Elephas maximus indicus: one gene and its partner. The protein of the gene in region 2 interacts with the protein of the main gene of each other region in a pairwise test. Links are inferred from orthologs where the notes say so. Each region holds a gene or a part of one and is shown on either strand. Other genes may lie near its edges.

Region 1 (7,574 bases), on a different chromosome or scaffold from region 2:
AGTTAGCTATATGCTGTGGGTGTTCTCAAGTAGTTAAAGAACCATTTTTATCAAAGTATTACGTGCACATAGTTTAAAAATTCAAGTGGTACTAAGATGCTCATGAAGCAACAGTGACCCCCTGGCCAACCCTGTCCCAAGGCCCTTCGACCCATGCCAAGCTGCACTTTTTTAAAGTGCCACCTATGAGGATCGAGAGCAGCAGGCTCGAAGACTGACCCCTAGCCTCCTAACACCAGTGTCCCCAGGCAGCCATCATGGGATCTGGGCCCCAAATAAGGGGCCTGTGTTCTCCCTTGTCCACACTGGTCCCACTGGAGTGTCCTCAGAACGGCTGGCTGAGGTCCAGGGAGTGACCTGCAGCTGGCCCAAAACATCAGCCTCAGCAGCAGCAGCCCACCCTTCCCCCGAACCCCATGGACAAGGGCTCCATTATTCTCTTCCCTCAGGCCTCTCAGCCCACGGGAACAGCCAGTACCCTCTGCCCAGGGTGTGAGGCTAGAGAAAGACTGGAGATCTGAGACACGTGTCTTTACAGAAACTGCTCAGACAGGCTTCCCATGAAGGGCCCACAGCCCTAACCAGCTGGCAGCCCTGACTTCCTCAGTCTAGTATGCAGCTGAAAGCTCCTCCAAGGGGCTGAGCCAACTCCCCCACCATCTCCGCTTATCTCCTCTGCAGCGACCCAGAACCCCCCCCCGCTAAGGACGAGGGAACCTGGATCTAGCACAGGCTCTTACCTGGAACCCCACTGGGGGGTGAACTTGGCTGGGGCGGGGGGCTCTGCCCAGACCCCACAGGACTGCCATCCAAGGGAGGCTGAGCCGCATCCATGCTGGGCAGTGCCTCTGTCTCGGCCTCAGTTATGGTCCCTCTGCCCTGGGAGTGCTGGGGGCCAGCCCCAGCAGGGTTGGGCCCCTGACTGGGGGTGAGGTGCGGGGCTGTCTCCTTGTCCCACTCCCACTTGACCGCCAGCGTGCTGTCCAGCACAAGGGCCCCACAGCCGGAGTCTGTGTCCATGACGTAGTCGTGGCCCTGGCCGCAGCCCCACACAGCTTGGATGACGCCGCAGTACTCAGAAGAAAGCATCCTTTGCAGGCTGGGCAGGGCCCCGCAGCCAGCTGCGTGCCCGTGCACCCACCCAACCAGGGCCTGCAGGCACCGGGGGCTCCATGTGACCAGGTCCGCTGAAGAGAGTCGACAGAGTCAGCCCTGGCCAGCACCTGCCACCCCGGCTGCCCGTGTACCCGGACACTCACCCGGACACGTGCCCTCCTCTGCAGCAGTCTGGGACTGAGTCCCGGCCCTGCAAAGGATTGTGTGGCCATGAGCAGGAGGAGCACACCTAGCAGCTCAAAGCTCTGTCCTACTTTCATGGCTGTCCCCAAGGTCTTGAATGTCCTGCTGTCCTTCAGATACTATCCACTCTCCCTGAACCACCCTGCCCTCCCCGTCTCATAGCCCTGCTTGAACCTCACTCCCCACGCTTGTATAGTGGTGCTCACACCATATGCCCTCCGCAGAGGTTCCCAGCCAGGCCTGCTCCCACACCTGCCCCCAGAACAGCACCTGAGGTGCCTGGAGGACACTGCCTGGCCAGTGAGTGCCTACTTTGGACAAGGCTTCCGGCGGCCAGTTGGGGAGACGTTGACCCTCTGCAGGAAGGAACCGAGGAGGCTGTGGCACTGGTAGAACTGGGCATGGCAGTTCTTGCAGACGAAGGATGACAGGGCTGGATCCTGGAGAACGGGCACCCCCAGAAGGCGCTGGAAATCCCTGATGAAAATGCGCTCCCCAGGGGGCGTTCTCCCCACACTTTCCCCAGACCCCCTGCTGGAGATGCTGCGGAGACTCCTTGAGGAGAACTTCCCGTGGCAAAGGCGGCAGTGCCCCATGGCGAGCGCCCGGCCTGGTCCTGGGCAAAGCAGCGGGGGACATGAATGGTCAGCGGGAGGCCAGCTCCTGAACTCAGCTGCTCTGCTCAGCTTGGGCATCTGGGAAAAAGCGCCCTAAGCCAAAGACCACTAACCTAAGCGGAGGAAAGTGCTGGGCTCCCAGCTCAACATTTAGGCCGAGACAAAGCTTTTTAGAGGAACTTCCAGTCCAAAAAAAAACTTTCAAAATATCCTAAATATCTCCACAGCTCCGACTACGGCCCGTCTCGCCTAGGCCCCCCTCACACAAGCGCCCCTCAACCCGGCCCCCCAGCCCCGTCGACCTTCACCCCGTCGCCTCGCACACCATGCCCCCTCACCCTGGCCCACTTCCCCCGCCCGGGGAACTCGAAGTGATAGTGCTGGCACCTGGGCTCCCCTTCCGCCCAGAAGGGTGACGCAGAGCCCACCCGGCCCACCGAGCAGTAACTCCCTGGTCCTCGCGACCCCTCGGTCGGCTTGAGGAGAAGGGCTGAGGCTCAGAGAGGGTGAGTGGCCACCTCAAGGTCACAGCGCGGCGAGCCCGGCGTCCCCCGGCCAGTCCACCCCGCCCCGAGCGCTGGTCCTGACGTGCCGGGCCGCCCCCCCATCCCGGACCGCTCGGCCGCCTCTTCGCCCCTCCTCCAGGAGAGACCCGGCCCGCGCCCCCGGCCCCCGGCCCAAGTCAGGCCCACATACCTGCCTCCTCAGCGCCGTCCTCCGGCGCCGCCGCCGCCGTCCCATCCGGGCTCAGCCCACAGCTGCGGGCGGGGCGGCCCCGAGCCCGGCCGCCTCCACAGGCGCCACCGCCCGGGCCCCCGCGCTGTCGGGCCGCCCCGGACGACAGGAAGCGACCGAGCCGGTCCCGCTTCATGGCGGCGACCCCACCTAGACCCGGCCCGGCCCGCTGCGCGCACCGCGCACGGCGCGCGGCCTCGCCTCGGCCCGCTCGCTCAGTACCCCTCGGCTCCGCTCGGCCCCGCTCGGCCCGCCAGCACAGTCAGACTCGCCTCCGCTCGAGCCCGCTCGGCTCTGCTCGGCCCCACTCGGCTAAGTTCGGCTCAGCTTGGCTCCACTCGGCCCAGCTCGGCCTCACTCGGCTTGATGGCAGGGGGCGGGGACGTGGTGGGGCGGGATGGAGGGCGGGGCGTGGCGGGGGCAGGGCTAAAGGCAGGGGGCAGGGGGCGGCGGGGGCGGGGCCCGTGCGGGCCGCGGTCCAAATCTCTGAGGCTGTACCGCCCTGAAAGCGTCCCGGTGACGTCCACAGGCTCGCTTCCCGCTCCATCCGCGAGAGGAATAGTGCCCAGCGCTGACGCCTAGAGAGCGCCGGCCTCGGGCTAGGCAGTGGGCTGAGCCCTTGACGTACGGCGACTCATTTAAACCTCGTGGCAGGCCCGTGAGGGACAGCAGACCCGCTATACCTCTTTGTGGAAGGGAAACGAGGCGCTGACGGGCAGACGCTGGGCCCCAAGAGTTACGCACGGAGGTGGTAGGCCCTGCTCGGTCCGCCAGCACGGTGCCTTTCGGCATTGGAGGGCTTTTCAGAATACTTAGCCATGTTGCTTGAAGTTTCCTTTGATTTTTTCTTCTTTTTTGCAATTTTTTATTTAAGTACATACACATACAGAAAAGTACCAAAATCATAAAGCGCAACTAGCGGGACTGTTCGGAGTTAGAGGGGTCCTGGACGTGGAGCGAGGGCTCGGCGCTCAGGGCAGCTACGTGAAGACGTTGTCATCGCTAATCCGCTTTCCCAGATGGGGAGACCCGGCCTGCAAGCCGAGGCCCGTGGTCCAGAGTCCGCTCCTGGACCCTAGCAGGGCCTGGCCTCGGATTACCAGGCCATGGTTCCGCCACTCTCGCCTTGGCTCATTCTGCCGCGGGAGTCTTGCTCCTGCGGCGGAGCAGGACGACGGAAGTGCTTCCAGCAGGGACCGCCCCGTCCGGCGGTCCGTCGCTCCGGCGTTCCACTGCCCGCGCAGGCAGAGTTCCGGGCTCCCGACCGCCCGCCCCGCCCCTTGACCGCCACCACTGCCTCCCCCGCCCCGCACCATGGCCGCTGCGGCCGGGGATGGCGCGGTGAAGCCGCTGCAGAGCGCTATGAAGCTGGCTAACGGGGCCATCGAGCTGGACACTGGCAACCGACCCCGGGTGAGACAAGGGGAGGCGGGGTCCGGCGGAGGTTAGCCCCCCGGGCGGGGGCGGGAGGCGGTCGCGGCGACGGCCGGGAGGGACCCCAACCTGCTGCAAGCCGGGTGGGCGAGGGCAGAGCCGGCCAGGCGGCGAGGTTGCTCTCGGCCCTGCCCGAGCTTCGGCACTTGGGGGCGCCCACGCCCACCTTGGGGTAAGAAGGCTGGACCCGGCGGTGCTGAGGTCTTGCCCTGCTCTGCGACCTTGGACAGCTCACTGCCCTCTCCGGGCCTCAGTGTTCTCGCCTGTTCAATGAGTCGGGGAATCAGAGCTGAGATGATATTGTAGAGGGGATTCAGAAATGTCTGTGAACTAACCCCCAGAGTTTTTTGTGTGTGCATCCTTTCTTCCTTTTTTGTAGATTTAATCAGATTCCCAAAGGGGACCGAATCCAGAAAATATTAACTGTCAGCCCAATAGTGCTGCTTTGGCTGTTCAGGGCCTGTCTGGAAGGAAATGCAGGGGGTGGAAAGGGTGGCTTGTTCCTGAGATTGGGAGCTGACTCTCAAGGTGGGGACCAGGTAGAAAAACCGCCTGGGCCACACCAGACTGCCCAGGGTAGGGAAGAGGCTGTGCGTGCCTAAGAAAAACATCCTAGTTTCTGAATCTGCTGCTTCTCCCACATTTTTTCTGGGACACCAGGTGCCCCCACAAGTCAAAAACCCTGTCCACAATCTGCCCTGGTCTTACCTCTGAGTAGACTTAAGACGGGTGGCTTGATAACTGGGATGCCAAAAAAAGGACAAAAAACCATCATGCCATGGTTCTTAATGTCCTGAGCAGCAGAGAGTGTTCAGCACTAGTCCTCTGACTGCTGTGTGCTGAGGGGTACTCACCCTGAGGATCAGGAGAGGGATTTTCCAAAACCTAAGGCAGGAAGTAATTCTAAGATTTGCAATATCATACCTCTTTAACATCACAGGAAATACTTATTTAAAGCCACTGAATGAATGGCTCCTGAGTCATGACACAGGAAGAAAAATTATAGAGCGTAAAAAGTGAGAGCAACTGCTGAGGCTGCTCCCAGCCCTACTCTGCCAGAAAGAAGCGCAGTGAAAGGAGGACTGGTGTCCAGCTGGTCTCGGCACCCAGTGCCTACTGCAGATCTTGTAGGAAGATGTGCTTTGGCGTTGTTTGCAGGTGCTGACATCTTTTCCTTCAAGTCTTAGAGAGCCAGGATACTATCATTAGACTACTGCACAATTACCAGCCAACTACAGCAGACTAGATGTCTCTGGTGTATCTCATGATAAGCAGGCACTGCTGTTTCTGTGGGTCCAGGCACTGCATTTTCCTGGAGGGGCACCAGGCAAGTGCGATGGACTCATTCACCTCCGTAGCCCTGATCCCTGCCATTTCTTTTCCCTGGGCACAGGAGGCATATACAGAATATCTGAGGAGCATTCACTACATCTCCCAGGTTCTGTTGGAAGAAGCAGAAATGACCAAAGGTATGGCTCTGAACGTCGCAGGTCCTCCCCATGCTGGGCTAATCATGGGAACATAGCCCTCAGAGAGTCTCAGGCCTGGACATCTCCTGCCAGCATGATCATTAGCAGAAAGTGGACCAATAGCACTCAGCAAGCACCAGCTGCAATAGCATGATGCAGGGGCCAGAACGGACAGGTGCTGCAGGCAAGAGGATGGAGAGCTGGGGTGGGGTGTGATGGGAAAGGCCACAGAAGCACTCCTGAGGAGATGACATTGAACCCACTGATGGATGGAGTGACCCATGCCAGGGTCTGGAGAAGGCATTCCCAGCAGAGGGATGTGCAAAGACCCTGAGGTAGGAGTGGGTGGTGTGTTTGTGGAAGGCCAGTGGAGAGGGAGAAGGTGAAGTTAGGGTTGGGCAGGTTGTGCAGAGCTCTGGGTACCTTGGGTTGGCATTGGAGTCATTCTGATGTGAGGAAAAGACCATGAAACACTTTGAGCAGCAGGCAGGAAGCCAGATCTGTGTACAAACACAGGCGAGTGATAGGGTGCCGAGAAATGAGGTTTTTCTCTCAGCACGTCCTTATTTGTGAAATGACATAGCAGCTGCATGGCCTATCTCACACAGAGGGGTAGAGTACAGGAAAAGCCCTCAGTGAGGAATAAAGAAAGGCCTTGTTTAGGTAGAGAACTCCAAAGGTCCCCTTTCCAGTGAGGGAAAGAAAGTTAATCAGATGCTGGGCTGGCCAAGCCTGGAATCTGCCTCAAAATCAAGAGGTAAACCCAGCTTTCCCATACCTTGTTTTCACTTCAGCAAGAATCTGATTAGCAGTCCAGCTGAAGGTAACTGGCCTTTTTTTCTCCTGTTCCCCCAGAAGCCGGGGAAACAGTGCCCCTAGACACCTCGAAGATGCTGAAGTTGGCTGAACAGTGTTTGGAGAGGGCCCAATCAACTGCTGCCAAGCTGGGTGGGTCTCCAACAGAGGGAGGTTTCCTGAGTACACCCAAGTCTGTGTCTTTTTATGGAATGTGGGGCCATCCTACTGACCCGTGGCCATGTATGGCTTACAGGGAAACCATGCCTGAAGCCAGCCAAGCCTATGACTGCTGCAGTACCCTCACCAACCAGTCGACACCGCCGGGTGTACTCAGATGAAGGGGGCAAGCTCTCTCCTTTTCTACCTCCTGAAATCTTCCAGAAGCTTCAGATGGTGGAGTCACAAAACTCTAAAAAGTAAGATGGGCAAAATGGGGTGTGAGTTGAGCCTGGGGATTGGGATTAGAGGCTGGGCAATATGAGTTGGCCACGGAAATTTAGTCAAAATAGGTCCCAGAATGGGAATTCCCTTGTACCTGAGAGAAGCAAAGGCAAAACCTACTTGGAGGAAAGCATTTTGCTTTTTCATAAAGTTGAATAACACACTGTCAAAAATAACCAAACACATGAGGAAACAAGAAACTATTAGGGAATGACAGCAGAAACAGACCTGCAAAGTCTCCAAATATTGGCGTCATCAGACACAGATTATAAAACAGTTATGTTCTTTATATCTAGAGAAACCAAGAAATTATAAAATCTTGAGCAAGAAAACATAAAATCTGACTGAGGAAATAAAGAATTAAGTAGGACTTCTAGAAATGAAAAATGCAACTGAAGTTACTATTTAAAACTAACTAATATATATATATATATATATGTTTTCTAGTAGAAATAAGCCAAAAAAACAAAAAATGGAGTGGACAAGTTTATAACAGGAGAGTAGACATAGCTGAAGAGAGAATTAGTGGATTGGAAGAAAAGTCAAAGACACCCAGAATGCTTCATAAAAAAAAAATAAAAGAGCGATGGAAGGTCTAACATAAGTTTACTGACATTCTAGAAGGTGGAGAGAAAGAAAATGGCAGAGGGTCATTATGTTGAAGACAATGGTGGACAATTTTCTAGAATTGATGAAAGACATCAAGACACAGATGCAAGAAGCCCAGTGAATCCCAAGTAGGACAAACAAGGAGGACCTGCTCCTCTTGGCCCTGCTCTGG
Region 2 (7,814 bases):
CAACTGCTCCAGCTCCAGGTCTTTCTCAGCCAGCACGGCCAGGGCCCGGTCACGCTGCTTGTGCAGCTCCTCCTCCAGCTTCAGCGTGCGGTCCCTGAAGTCCAGCTGACTGCGCTCCAGCTCCTGCCGGTGCAGCTGCTGCAGCCGGGTCAGCTCCTGCTTCCAGTCCTCAGCCTCCTGCTGGTGCTGGCGCTCGAGCTCCTCGCAGGACAGCCGCAGGGAGATGTACTTCTCCTTCAGCTCTGCCAGCTGCTCCTGGGCTTCCTCCAGCTCCTTTGACACATTGCTGTCTTTGGTGCTCTTGCTCTTGAGGACAACCTGGGCCCTCATCTTGTACCTCTCAAACTCCTCCTTCAGCTGTTTCAGCTCCTGTTGGTAGTACAGCGCAGTGGCTTTCTCCCCATCAGTAGCCTCCGAGGTGGGCATTATCTCTGGGTCGCAGAGCTTCTCCACATCCAGGGCCACCTGGCTTTTTCTGGCTGCAACCTGCAACAGTCTCTTCAGCTTCTCCATCTTGTCCTTCAGGACATTAACATCCAGACTGGACTCCTCACCATGGCTGTCCAGAGGGGACCGGCTGGAGGCTGCGAGAGCCAGTGTCTTATTCTCCAGGTCCAGCTGCAGAATACGCTCCTTCAGCTTCTGGATAGCCAGCTGGTCCTTCTGCTTGGCCTTCTCGTAGATGCCCAGCAGTTCAGACACCTCGGATATCTGGTTCTCTAGGGCTGCCACCCTCTGCTCTTCCACCTGAGATTGCTGTCGGAGTTGTTCCTCAGCAAGGGCTGTCTGGAAAACAAGGCAACAGACAGAAATGCAGCCAGGAAAGCCACACAATGCCCTAGGGCAAATTTTGAGAAAGCGAGAGGGTGAGCAAAAGTGTCACATGACTAGGATGGCCTGGGAAGAATGGGAACTGGGGGTTTTTGTGTGGATTTAGGTGCTAACAACAGTTCCTGTAACCTGCTTGGGTTCTGCTCCCAGAAACATATTACACCAGACCTTAGTGTATTTTCTTACTGTTCTGCTTTAGTGCTTCTGCTTTCTCATACCATACACCTAGCTCACATATAAAGCTTTACTCTTGTTTATTACATGCCTCCCCAAATCCTATTAAGAAATCATACGGTTTTTTTTTTTCTTCTGATATTCCTCGAAATTCAAAACGGAGTTAGATTTCTCTCCACACTGAAAGGATACAAATTCTGACTGAAAGCAACTACAAGAGATTGTTTCTTCTGAGAAAATCCCCATCGCCCCCTTCATCTCCCTACAAACACAGCCCCACACATCACCCTTCCTTGTGCAGCTGGGACTACACCGCTTCGTAGAGCCCGGCTGGGAAGATGTCAATGCCCAGAACTCGGAGCTGTCTGGCTCCTACCCAGCCTACACGCAGAAACTCCACTTCCTGTTGGGCACACACTCTGTGGAGACTGTCAACACCGTGTAGAGCAGGAATTCCCAGGACTCACTAGTGGGACTTTTCCAGTAGCATCAGAAATGCCAGTGCGACCACTTAGTGCTAACTCCCAAAGGAGGAAAAGCCTTCATGTTTCCCACTTCAGATTAAAGGACTAATGCTTGAAGGAAATGAGAATAATTACCTTCCTTATTTCCTGTTGCAACTGAGCCTGGAAATGACTCTTGAGGCCAGCGGCCTCTTCCTGAAGGTCCTGCAGCCGGGGGTCAGGCCGATTCTTCTCATTTCGAAGAGCCTGCAGCTCACCCTTCAGCTCCTCTACCTCCCTGGTTAGCTGCTTGGTCTGCAGTTCAAACCCTTCCATCTGACCAATGGCATATGCCCGCCCTGCCAGGGCTTCTCGGGTCTCCTCCAGACGGAGCTCCAGGTCCTGGCGCTGGGTCCTCTCCTCCTGCAGCAGCTTCTGGAGCTCACGCAGCATCAAGGCATGGTCACTCTGCTCTTGGGCCCGATCGTGCTGCTGCGTGATAAGTCGAGCTTTGGTTTCCGCTATTTGCTCCTGCAGCCCCTTCAATTCCCCCTCCAGACGGCCCCTCTCCTCCTCTGCCTTCTTACTGGCATCCTCTAAGTCCTGTTTCATCTTCTTCTTGTCAGCCAGGTAAGAAGCCTCCATACGGGACTTCTCCTGGGTGACTGTAGCCAAAGAGCTGGTCAAAGTGGCCAACTGAGTCTTCATTTGGTGCAGTCGTTTGTCTGCCTCCACGCCCCCCGACGGACCGTCCCCACTACTGCTGCTAATGCCACTCTCCGAACCGCTGGCTTCTTCGGACTTCAGAGGTAGTGGGCCACGGGCCGGTCTCTCATCTTCTACCCCAAACTCACCCTTGGTGCTGGTGAGACTGGCTGCAGTATCCAAGCTGGTGGCGGTCCCCGTGCTATCCCCGCTGTGAGTGGAGCACCGGTCATCAATGGAGTCAGGAAAAGTGAGACCTGAGGGCTGGACACCTGCGAGGCCCACATCCGCCTCGTGGGACACCGACAGTACCTTGATGCTGGCCTCCAGCGCCTCTTTCTCCTTCAGTAGGCTTTTATAGGCGCGGACCACATCCTTGAGCCGTGCCTGGTACTGCAGGAGCTGCTTCTTCTGTGTGTCTATGGTCTCCAGCAGGTCCTTCTTGCTCGGGCCGCCCCCGAAATTCATCCCAAACTTCTCCATAGGGGTGCGGGACTGGCAGCTCCACGTCAGCGTTCCGGCAGCCCGCGAAGACGTGGCACGGACTGCAAGCGTCGGGGAGAGAGTTGTCGGGCCGCACACCTGCTGCTCCCGGCAGTCCCGGACCGGATGAGGCGCGGCGGGACACCCTGGCAGGAGGTCCCGCCTGGTCCCGGGCCCAGAGGGCGGGCCGGGTCCTGTCCCGGAGGCGGAGCGACGCCGGCACGAGAGGAGCGCACCGCCGGGGCTCGCCCGCCCAGGCCCACAAAGCCGCGCCGCGCGCCCCGCTCGCCCGGATCCCTGCAGCCCCGGCCAGCCCCCGCGGTCCCGGTCGGCCAAGGTTTACACCAAACGCGGCTCCATCAGGACTTCCTAACTACCGCGGCCGGCCCAAACGTCACTGCCGGGTCCTCAGGAAGTGACGACAGCACCCCGCCGCAGGCTCCGCCCCCAGCATGTGCGAGGTGGGCGTGGCCACTCCAGGCGGTGGGTGGGAGCCGCCTGTGGAAAACCTAGGGGCTGTATGACCTGAGGACATGGCTTGGGAAGAATGGAGGAAGCAGAGAAGAGGACTCAGGCGTGATGTTGATTTGTTTGGTGAGGTCGGGGTGCTTGAGTTTGTCCTTGGGCTTCGATCAGCAAGCGACTGGGGGCAGCATTGCGCAGCGTTCTTACGAAGCACAAAGATGGGCGACACCCCCACTCTTTGGGGGACCAGCACCTATGTCTCTAAAATGCAACCGTTAGACTCCCTTTTAGACCATGATAACTGCAACCCTGTCTAACACAGTGCTTGGCACCTAGTAGGCATAAGAAAACCAAAAAAACAAACCCATTGCAGTGGAGTCAATTCCAACTCATAGCGACCCTATAGAACAGAGTAAGACTGCCCCATAGAGTTTTCAAGGAGCGTCTGGTGGATTCGAACTGCTGACCTTTTGGTTACCAGCGGTAGCACTTAACCACTACATATAGCGTAATAATTGCTAGCACTTTTCATAAGTTTTGAGTTAATTCAACTATGCTTATAGAGGGCACTCTATAGCCATGATTTCTATCCTGAGTGCCAGCTATACACCAGGAGCCTCACAAAAGTTTTGTTATTTAGTCTGTACAGTAATTCAGCTTAGGGGGTATTATTAGCATTATTTTACAGATAATGGGAGCACGGAGCACAGAGAGGTTAAGTAACGCGCCTGTATTAGTTATCCATGGCTGCAATAACAGAAATACCACAAGTAGATGGCTTTAACAAACAGAGGTTTATTTTTTCACAGTCTAGTAGTCCAAATTCGGGGTGTAAGCTCCAGGGGAAGGCTTTAGCTCTCTGTCTGCTCTGGAGGAAGGTCACTGTCATCAATCTTCCCTGGTCTAGGATTTTCTCAGCCCATGAGCCCCATTTCCAAAGGACATGCTGTGCTCCCAGTGCTGCTTTCTTGGTGGTATGAGGTCCCTATGTCTCTCTGCTTGCTTCTCTCTTTTGTATCCCAAAAGAGGTTGGCTTAAGACAGAATCTAGTCTTGCAGATTGAGTCCTGCCTCAGTAACGTAACTGCCACTAATCCCATCTCATTAATATCATAGAGATAGGTTTACAATGCATAGGAAAATCATAACAGATGACAAAATGGTGAACAATCACACAATACTGAGACTCATGGCCTAGCCAAGTTGGTACACATATTTTTGGGGGACACAATTCAATCCATGACGTTCCACCCTTTGGCCCCCCAAAATTCATGTCCTTGCCATGTGTAAAACGTATTCACCCCATCATATCAGCAAAAGCCTTAAATCAATTCCAAGTCCAAAATCCAAAGAATTCCTCTTCATCTGTGAAATCTAGAAAACAGGTTATCTGCTTCCAAAGTACAATGGTAGAACAGGCCCAAGCTAGATATTTCCATTACAAATGGGAGAATCGGAGGGAAAGAAGGCATAACAGACACCACTTTGTCTAGCGAAAGTAGGACCAACTAACCAGCTTCCTTACTAGGTCCAATCAGCATAATGTCACTGATGTAATGGACCAATGTGGTATCTTGTGGAAGGAAAAGGTGATCAAAGTCCCTGTGGACTAAATTATGACATAGGGCTGGAGAGTTGATATACCTCTGAAGTAGACAGTGAAGGTGTATTGCTGGCCTTGCCACCTGAAGGCAAACTGCTTCTGGCCTTCCTTCAAAACCAGAATCAAGAAAAAGGCATACCCCAGACCCAGTGCCGTCAAGTTGATTCCAACTCGTAGTGACCCTATAGGACAGAGTAGAACTGCCCCATACAGTTTCCAAGGGAAAAGGCATAGGCCAGATCAGTAGCTGCAAACCAGGTACCAGGAGATGTATTAATGTGCCCAAGCAATGAAACCACATCTGGAACAGCAGCTGCAGTTGGAGTCACCACCTGGTTAAGTTTATGATAATCCACTGTCATTCTCCAAGATCCACCTGTTTTTTGCACAGGCCAAATAGGTAAGCTGAATGGGGATGCGGTGGGATCCTATAGGGCAGAGTGGAACTGCCCCATAGGATTTCCAAGGCTATAAATCTTTACAGAAGCAGACTGCCACATCTTTCTCCCATGGAGTAGTTGGTGGGTTCAAACCACCAACCTTTGGGTTAGCAGCTGAGTGCTTTAACCCTTCATTTGAATCTTGGCACAGAAGCTGTCCGCTAACATTTTTGGGCTCTCAGGTTTCTTGGGAGACTACTTTTCCCACTAAAAGTATTTGCTGCCCTCCAGTGGGGGGCTTGTGTAATGGTGAAACATGAAAAAATGTTCTTTGGGAAAAATTCACTAAGGTAAAGAGGCTTATGTATGAGGCAGTGCTTCCAGGAAGTGCGATTGGATCAAACTTATGTCTCTTCTGGCTTTTGTACAGCTAAGTAAGCCTTGTAAGTATATTTATGGTTTCCTGTGTCGGAACCCTGGTGGGTTGGCTTTTCTTTTTTTGGTCATTTTTGGAAAACCAGAGATGCCCAATGTAGCCAAACGGAAGGCATCACCCAAAATCCTGCCTCCAGAGATCCTTGGGACAGACAGAGCTCAGTAAACAGGCACCAGACTATCGCCAGCATTTTGTGGGAAAATGCATTCCCATATGATATTTCTCCAAATGATAAATCTCAAAATTTCATAACAAAAATTCAGAAAAAAAAATTTTTTTTGAACGACTCCTTAATTCAGCATGCCTTCTATTATTGAAAGCACATAGTATCAAAAAAATTTTTTAAGGAAAAAAATTTTCTAAAGAAAAAAATTTTGAAAGGGTTTAACCACTATGCCATCAAGGCACCTTCTAATGTTTACGTAAGCAGATCACCAGGTCTTTCTCCCTTGAAGCAGCTGGGTGGGTTCAAACCACCAACCTTTCAGTTAGCAGTCAAGTGCTTAACTGTTGTGCCACCAGGGCTCCTTGGCATAACAGGTGGGTACCCAAATTAAGGCATTTATATTTTACCTTGGGTAGTAGGGAAGACACTAGAGGGTTTTAATCTCAAGAGTAACATCATGAAGACTTGCATAACAGGGTGGAAATAGTAAGGCATAGAAGATCTGTAAGGAGGCTTTTTCAGTTATGGGAAAGAGATCATAGTGAAACCAGGCAGTGGCAACATGAAGAGAAAGAAGCTGATAAAAGAGCTAAAGATGTAGAATTGACCTGACTTGGTGTCATGGATTGAATTGTGTCCCCCCAAAATATCTATCAGCTTGGCTAGGTCATGATTCCCAGTATTGTATGATTGTTTACTGTTTTGTCATCTGATGTGATTTCCCTATGTGTTGTGAATCCTATCACTATGATGTTAATGAGATGGATTAGCAGCAGTTACATTGATGAGATCTACAAGATTAGATAATGTCCTAAGTCAATCTCTTTTGAGATATAAAAGAGAGAAGCCAGCAGAGAGTGGGGGATCTCATACCACCAAGAAAGCAGTGCCAGGATCAGAGTACGTCCTTTGGACCTGGAGTTCCTGCACAGAGATGCTCTTAGTCCAGGGGAAGAGTGACGACAAGGACCTTCCTCCAGAACTGAGAGAGTAAGCCTTCCCCTGGAGATGACTTGTGGCCTACTAGACTGTGAGAGAATAAATTTCTCTTTGTTGAAGCCTCTACTTGTGGTATTTGTTATAGCAGCACTAGAAGACTAAGATACTCCATTACCACTAGTTGTGTTATTATATTGGGACTCTTCTAAATGTACTTTTTGACCTTTGGATCCTTCTTGGGAATGGAAGCCTATGACTGAAGAGCAAAAGAATGCCATGCACTCACTCACACCTGGTTCCCAAAGTCTGTCCTCATTCCAGACTTTGTAGGTCAAGATGGGGCATGCCCATGCCCTAGATGTCTGTTCAGACCCAGTTTGTTAGTGGCCCAGATAACATCCAGCTGCATAACACAAAACATTCAGATACATTATCTCATCACTTTAATCTATAGCCCCTTGAGATAGGTAAGGCAGATATTAATGTCGTGGTTGGAGGTTGAACCCTGTAAAAATGATGATGTGGGGGCAGCATCTGACCTCCTCATGCAACTTTACAAGGGGGAAGGAGAATCAAGATCGACAAAGCCCAAGGCTGATTGCTGTGAGATAGAGGTCAGACGTACCTCCTCTTTCCACCATCTTTACCAGTTCCAACACTATCCATCCCTCCCACGGCACTCTCTCCTTCTCTGCTGGGTTCAACTTGTTGCAGTGGCTACACAGAACTCATAGACCATACTTGAGTTATGGGGTTTATTAGGGAAGTAACAGGTTTCAATTCAGGTTCAGGAAAGCTCAGGATACAGTTCTTCAACCAGGACAGCCTCTTCTCAGCCTTGCTTGCAGGGAGGCCTCTCTTTGGCCCTCAGCCCCTCGGCCTGGCCTCTACCCTGCTCAGGCAAGTGTTACAAAGCTCTTTTAGCTCTGCCAGTAAGTGTCTGGAGGCACCCTCCTCCATCAGCAAGCCTCAGCCCAAAGATGCTCAGTTCTACCTTTGTGGGTCAGGAAACTTAGCTCCACCAAGTGCCCAGAGGCACCCTACACCACCAGCAAGCCTCCTGCCCGAAGGTGCTCAGCTTTCTCACTTCATGGGCCAGAAGGCCTACCACACCATCTCCTGCTGGTCTCCTGCCTCTGCTGCCACCATTTCTCTGCCACAGCTTCTCTTCGTCTTTGGTGTTACATCTC

What was found. The genes of interacting proteins can lie anywhere in the genome.
Region 1: the proteins of GCC1 (region 2) and ZNF276 interact in binary tests that used the Homo sapiens proteins (3 or more experiments, as listed by UniProt). The two-hybrid records come from large-scale screens. The link is inferred for Elephas maximus indicus from reciprocal best matches to the Homo sapiens genes GCC1 and ZNF276.

Annotation. Positions count from the first base shown.
Region 1 is NC_064839.1:54,863,780-54,871,353, reverse strand, and holds the start of ZNF276 (zinc finger protein 276), read right to left. Parts: upstream 3,002-7,574; 5' UTR 2,788-3,001; coding exon 2,613-2,787; intron 2,010-2,612; coding exon of another isoform or gene 1,916-2,009; coding exon 1,612-1,915; intron 1,307-1,611; coding exon 1,260-1,306; intron 1,188-1,259; coding exon 741-1,187; intron 1-740. Other genes in the region: VPS9D1 (VPS9 domain-containing protein 1), read left to right, coding at 3,966-4,064, 5,479-5,554, 6,410-6,502, 6,606-6,768. UniProt on the Homo sapiens protein: May be involved in transcriptional regulation.
Region 2 is NC_064826.1:22,309,519-22,317,332, reverse strand, and holds the start of GCC1 (GRIP and coiled-coil domain-containing protein 1), read right to left. Parts: upstream 3,017-7,814; 5' UTR 2,637-3,016; coding exon 1,605-2,636; intron 787-1,604; coding exon 1-786. UniProt on the Homo sapiens protein: Probably involved in maintaining Golgi structure.